Bombyx mori: one gene and its partner. The protein of the gene in region 1 interacts with the protein of each later gene in a pairwise test. Links are inferred from orthologs where the notes say so. Each region holds a gene or a part of one and is shown on either strand. Other genes may lie near its edges.

Region 1 (3,760 bases):
GTCGTATCTCTGGGTACAAATCTGCATTTTGTTACCAACTGACGAGATGAGACGTCCAACGGGCATTGGAGCATCATGAGAATATCGGTGATTGAGACACTCTGTGCGCATGTAGCGACTGAAACAAAACATAATTCCATTATTAAATCGTTTTAATCCATTTGCATTTATGCTAATTAACCATTTTATTATGAAAGGTACGGATAGATGCTGGAAAAAACCTGGCAGGGCACAGAGAATATCAAAATCCATATATGAAGATTTAAATATTCCCTTGGAAATTTTTAATATTAAATCATGTAACATATCCATAGCATGCTTCTTCATGCAACTTCAATAACTTTATATTAGACTAGCGGCCCGCTCTGGCTCCGCTCGGGTCTTTAACAAAAACTTCAATGATATTTGATATTGTTTTATTTTTTCAAATAACACTTCTTGCGGCATAACTATAATAGTTAGACATAATTATGCTGTCGCGACACTTTTTGTGAATAATACTGTGTTCTACAAAGTCGTTGTATATTATTTTATTCTATCATCAATAGTTTTTGCAGGGCACGCGATGTGAAGAATATTTTATGTAATATTTTTACACCTTGGGTTACATTAAGTATTGGAGTTTTAGTAAGGATCCCTCATTTTTTCAAAAAAGATTATAGCCTATGTCACTCGGGAATAGTGTAACTTCCAAACAGCGACAGAATTTTTCAAATCGGTTCAGTAGTTTCGGAGCCTATTCAATACAAACAAAGAAACAAATCTTTTCTCTTTATAATATTATTTGTGTTGTTTGTGTAATATTATTTGTGTTTCTCTTTATAATATTATTTTAATATTGTGATACTTTTTTTACATATAGTCCAAGCATCTTAGTGGTGATACAGAAAAACAATCTTTCTGGTAGTTAATTAGATAGCTGCAAGCACAATGGTACTGTATTTAATTGTACTTATAGAGAATATTTTATTATCAGAATTTTTTTTACTGAATGAACACTTATTACCATACAATTCATCAAATTAATGGAAGAATTTATATAGTTAGCTGTTTTCAACAGTTTAGAGGACAGAATTAAGATTTCTATTTTTTTTTCTTTCCTATTATGTTTGGAGCTTGCATTGGACAAAGTAATTGTATATAGTAATGTGCTTTTACTAACAAAAGTGTAAGTTTTCATATTTCATTATAATTCACAATAATTTGTCAGCCTTCATTACATGACAAACCAGGCTTAAATGTACTTGATGTGAATAAATAACTGGGAACAAATCACGAACAAGGTCTGCTTAGGTTTAGGTAACTGTCTAGTTCTATCTATTTGTTTAGCTGGAATTATGAAAACCCAAAATTTCTGTTTGTGCGTTACACAAAAACATATTTATTTTATTTTAATAAAACTTATTAAGTAAGCTTAAAGGGTTTTGTTTAGTTGAAATTCATAATAAACAAAATATTTTAAAATATGGTCAAAAAAACAAATACATAATTACTGTTTAGGTCAAGCTCTAAACTAAGTAAGTCAGGATCAATATGCCTAATCTTGTAAGCCAATCAAAAGCGCGATTAAGACTTTGTTCAAAATTAAAAAAAAAAAGAGCCAGCAATGCTTGTCAATCAACTACTCTTCAACGGTTCAAATAAAAATTGCCAAATGGTTTTAAAGAAGTTAAATAAAAAAAAATCCATTTAACAACTGAAATGTTTTATGATTTTTAAAAATTATTTTTCTGTCCAATTCTACGTGTCTACTACCTATGTTTATGATACTGTATGTAATTGCTAGTAGCATTTAAGAACTACATATTTTCAATATAGGCGCCTGTTGAATTCCTACTAAAAGGAAGTAAAATATCTCAGATAGAAATCACAACATACCTCAGCATACGAGCATCTGCAGTAAGACCTGATATAGAAATTCCAATATGTTCATCAATAGGAATAATTTTCTTCTGATATGCGGACAATTCGCTCACAGCGCGTTTCAACGCTATCAACACCGCATAGTCCTTATTCTTCAGACCAATGGTTGCAGAACCAAGTTTCACAGCTTCCATTGCATACTCCACTTGATGGAGACGGCCTTGAGGACTCCATACTGTGACGTCGCTATCGTACTGGTTCCTGAACTGAAAAGCAAGTGACGGTTTTTTTTACTTGTGGTTGGTATAGGTTAAGAAGGTTAGTTATGACTGGACTACTTTGATCTTAGCAGTTTTCATATTTTTATATATTGATAAAACTTCTGCATGGCCGTATATATGCATTCAGCCGTATACATTCAGCTATTTTAGTATAATAAAGCTTTTTGCAGTGACTATGCAGATTTTTTTCTTTAAATAAAAGGATATATATTTGTCTTTTTAAAGAAATCTGGTAAAATTATTGACCACGATTACTTACCATTTTAAGTTTTATTTAATTTAGAAAAGTACAATTTCTACTATGAATTAATTTCATAAAATTAATGTAGCGGCGAAAGAAAAATATAGTTTACCATACAAGCAGACTAAGTATAGTCTATGCAGTGACTTTCTTAAAAGCATGGAGTTAATAAGTACCCAGAATAGTAACTCTATGCTTAAAAGTGACACTGACAATCACAATCTTTCAATTGTCAATCACTAATATTGTGAACTTAAAGCAAAGACTTACAGATCCAAGAACTTCTCTCTCGATTTATAGTAAAATATAATAATAGTTAGGTAATAAAATTATAATAATTAAAATATAATTACATAGTTTTATTTGATCTCGAAGTATATGGTGGAATTACGAATTTAGGCATAATGAGAAAACTGATTTAACACTACATATCTACATATTACCCGATAATGATAAACAGAAAGCAATTTTTTAAAGATAGAATTAATTATTATAATTAAATTGACACTAAATTTCTTGACTGATTTTTCAAAGGATCACGATTCCGATCTAGTGGTAGATTCTGCGAAGCACTGCTTTTGCTAGGGCTAGTGTTAGAAAATTTTGTCAGGTTGAGCCCCGTGAGCTCACCTACCTATCACTGCGCAGCTGAAATAGCTTCTTAGGCTAACAGCGGATAGGTAGGGGAATATTTAATTAAGCAAGCAACTTAACAGCCAAATCACTGTCAAAAAATAATATGAAAACATTAAGCTATTCCGTTTTTACGTTACTACAGATCTTTTAAAATAGAAAAGTAGAATTCGTCACTATGATGGAACTATTGAAGTCATCCAAAGTACTTTTAGAAGAAAAACATGTCACTCATTTCAAAGCCCAATGGTAGATGACAAGAGAGGTCTCTGAAAATGCACTGTGAACGCATTTAATTTATATGGATGAGTTCTAGTTCAGAAGAGGGGGTGCGATAGTAAAAACGAGTTAGCGGGATCATTTTGAAAATTCGATTGCTTTTAATTTTAGTAGTAGAACATAGATTTGATATAGTATATATTCTTGGAGGCTATTCTCTAATAGATTTTACCTACTTATTATACAAAATAGGCAGAATTGAATTAATAAGTTTTTTTCGAAACTTATTCAATTTTCAATTCAATTCTTTATTAAAGATTCGAATAGGAAATCTCAAAAGTTCTATTAATTATTACTTCAATTCTTCTCTATGATGCTTACATCTATATTTTATTTATGAAGATGTTGATGTTGATTATAGCAGATCTATACATATATGTACTCACTTATTTTCTCCTTTACATATCGATTTTACTTCGTGCGATTCTCCGTACATTATTACCTAAGTCGATAACATCTCCAC
Region 2 (3,660 bases), on another chromosome or scaffold:
CGTTTACTAATTCGAATCAAAACGAGATCTGTTCGGGAATAACAAAGTTATAGGTGATTTAGTAGCGGATGAAGGCGACTTTTTACACATTCGCTGTACACCTTCTATAACACACAGCTTCTGATTGACCTCTTCGCCTCCACCGAATACTTTAAACGATTATATTTGAGAAACATATTTACAGATTTAACATATATTACGTATTTAGTCAACTACAACGCTGGTCCGAGAGGGATAGTGACTCAAAATAATGTGGTGGAGGCTGCGGTGCGGTACGAGAAGAAATACTTCCATAGAGGGAGAGAGGGAGAGAGAGAAGCAGGGAGAGGGAGAGGGAGAGAGGGAGAGAGAGAAACAGGGAGAGAGAGAGGGAGAGAGAGGGATATTGCTCGGACGCCGGCGGCCCTTATGTTGTCGTTCGGAACTCGTATGTAATATGAAATTTTATCCAATTACCCTTATTCCATGATGTTTGTTGTTTTAATGTTAAATATTTACCGTCACAAGAATACAAGTGGTGTGTGATGTCTTGTACACCGTTTGTGTTATTTCTAAAGAAGCCTCGATCAAACGCGAATTTCCAACTGAAGAACATTAATTTTATTTATTACATCATTATGTGAAAATAGTTGATACTCTAAAAATAAAACCCATTAATTTTGTACGAGCGTTCGCCCAGTGGTCTAAATACGACCATATTTAATTTCAATTATAAGCTTAAACATTATTATGGTTTTATTGTCAAAGACTATAAAACTTCTGTAATCACAGATTTCGCCATGGCTACACTATTAACAAATAATATTAACGACAAAAAATTTCAATCTATTCTCAAATAGACCACAGACTAAACAATAACAAAAGTTTGACAATAAACAAAGAGTATATATGCGTGTGTGTTTCAAATATATGGGAGTGTGTGTAATGTTTTTCAAGCTGATTTAATGTATTTTTATACATAATTAAAAAAATATATTAGCGTTCTGCACTCCTTCTCTATATTTTCTATAAGGTGTACAAAGTTTTTGCTTCACGTATATATATATTTGAAGTGACCGAATTCAGACCATACTGCTTTCTAGTTTCAATAAATGCGTCATTAACTGATTCATTCTAACCTTAGGCCAATAGAACAGAATCCGAACAAAAAACAATAATTTCTATTTAAAACGACAATGAGCTAGTCGCGTGCGCGGCCTGCAACAACGGGCGCGTTCAAATAAACACAATCGACATGATACGAATGTTCTCTGCCAGTAAAGTTTAACTGTAGACAATGTAAACAAACAACAACTCTTATATAGGGCCGCCGGTTTAAAAATAAAACCAAAACGCGACTCTGCTCTTTGAAGCATATTTATTCGAAGTGAGCCCTGCGGGAAACATGGCCGTGCTCCTTTAAAGTGAGGATACTATGCGAGTCCCTGTCACATCGGCCCCCGGTCATCTTCTCGTGCCATTCAAATACCCTGTTCTAGGAAGGCCATTCATATCTCGAAGTCATTCTGAATACATCCATGACCTTCCGCCCTCATGTTAAGCCGGTCTGCGATCACGCCGCGTAGTTATACGACAAAGGGAAGATCTTCCACCGAGCGGGTGATATTGCTCGGTAGACCGACGGTCAGTATGTTGTTGTTCGGAACTTGTATATATATGCAAGTTTATCTTGAAAATGTCGTAAGCGAGATTCAGGCCATAGTCAAATAAGTTTGTATGGTGGCAAGAGCCACAACCTCATGACGATTAAAAAAAAATATAACATCGCCATTATTGAGTGTGGCAGCCCTAGAACTGTTCTTTACTAGCATGTTTTCAATACCAGGTTTTTTTAGCGCATATTCATTGAATCCGCAAAATCATATAATATTCTTGTATGAATCCGGACAAAGTATTCTTTTTTAGGAATGATGACTCCGCAAATCCTCTTTTTCTTATGGAGATTATCGGCTATCCCAGTATAGTCGCAGGGAGCTAGTTTATAAGCGGCTTAAGTTGCAGTTTGTAGTTTGGCAAGGTAAACACATTCCGAATTAAATCTAAGGTGGGTGCTGTCCTTGCGGGGCGCGGATGTCGCGCGAGGAATGTAGCGGAGTCGCTTATTGTGGCCACCTCCGTACGGGCATCTCGTGGGAGATTCTGTCCCCGACACTGTACATCAATATTTGGTCGAGTGCTAGTATATTTCATCACAGCTCAACAAATAGCACTAGCATTACTGCCAATGTGAACTGTGAAGAACTGGACACAATGATGGAGAAGCTAGAGAATCTTCAGCTGGCCTTAGTTAATCGCTAGTCCCCGCTGCCCTTACACGACAACACTGAACCTCATATGCCACAACAGACGTTATCTAAGCTACAAAAGCTAGGTTTGAAAGGTTTGCGTCATCCGCCTTACTTGCCAGACCTTGCGTCGACAGACTTCTACTTTATCCAAAGTATAGACAATTTTTTAGCAAGGAAAAAATTTAGTACCCTAGAAGCAGTACAAAAGCCCTTTGAACGGTTTATTTGTTCCGTACCTGACTTCTTCAAGAAGGCCGTTGAAAATTTACCACTGCGCTGACAAATATATCAATACCAGGGGTGCTTATTTTAATTAATAGATTTATAAAAAAAAATTACTTTAACTTTCTATGAACTAAACAGCAACTTCATAAGTAAAGACCTAATATTAATTAAAACTAGTGTTCCCGCAGTAGTCGAAATTCGACTATAATTAATTAATATTATAAGTTTGGACTATTATATTTCTATAGTCGCAGATTTCGCCAAGACTACACTATTGACAAATACTTGTAATATTAAAAATAAAGAATATTAACCTATTCTCAATTTGACTACAGACTTTAAGCAATAACAAAAGTTTGACAATAAACAAAGAGTATATGTGTGTGTGTGTGTCAAATACATGGTAGTGTGTGTAATGTTTTCTTTATTGATTTAAAGTATTTTTAATGCATAATATAAAATAAAAAAAATACCATTGTGCACTCCTTCTCTATATTATTATTCTCTATAAGTGTGGGAAATTTCATACTCCTCCGTCCGCGCAATTTTCGTAAGAAATGGTAGAAAGTTTTTGCTTCACGTATTAATATATAGATAGCTTACTGCATTAATATCGGCATGTATCTGTCGAAGTTCCTCCACATGGCTCATCTTCTCCTGCTGCAGCAGCTCCATCTCGCGTTTGTACTGAGCTAGACAACGCCCCTCTTGATCACCGCTGCGCACCTCCGTCATGATGCTGCGCTTTAGTCTCTCCAGGGTTATAGTTTTGTTCCTGAAATTTAAAGGTACAGTTTCAAGATATTAAAATCAGCACTTTGTTATGTTACTTTGACATTTGAGTATTAAGCGGTAGGCAGCGGCTTGGCTCTGCCCTTGGCATTGCTGAAGTCCATGGGCGACGGTAGCCACTCACCATCACGTGGGCCGTATGCTCGTCTGCCTACAAGAGTAACACAAAAAAAACATTAACAACCAACGAAGTAAAGCATTTTGGTAAGTAGCTAAGAATTGATATTTTTGTTCTATTCTTTCGGGGGATAAATGGTAGCCCGGATCCGCTCCGGCTTAATCTTCTCAGGGCGGGTACGGCGGGTGCGACTAGTGCTGTCCGAGCGCCTCCGCGTGGCCTATCAATTCAAGGGGA

The links. The genes of interacting proteins can lie anywhere in the genome.
Region 2: the proteins of proteasome subunit alpha type-1 (region 1) and zinc finger C4H2 domain-containing protein interact in a two-hybrid assay, tested with the Caenorhabditis elegans proteins (3 studies listed by BioGRID). The link is inferred for Bombyx mori from reciprocal best matches to the Caenorhabditis elegans genes pas-6 and vab-23.

Annotation. Positions count from the first base shown.
Region 1 is NC_085120.1:6,273,875-6,277,634, forward strand, and holds the start of proteasome subunit alpha type-1, read right to left. Parts: upstream 2,589-3,760; 5' UTR 2,407-2,588; coding exon 2,404-2,406; intron 2,130-2,403; coding exon 1,879-2,129; intron 119-1,878; coding exon 1-118. UniProt on the Caenorhabditis elegans protein: The proteasome is a multicatalytic proteinase complex which is characterized by its ability to cleave peptides with Arg, Phe, Tyr, Leu, and Glu adjacent to the leaving group at neutral or slightly basic pH.
Region 2 is NC_085129.1:15,695,829-15,699,488, forward strand, and holds part of zinc finger C4H2 domain-containing protein, read right to left. Parts: intron 3,289-3,660; coding exon 3,117-3,288; intron 1-3,116.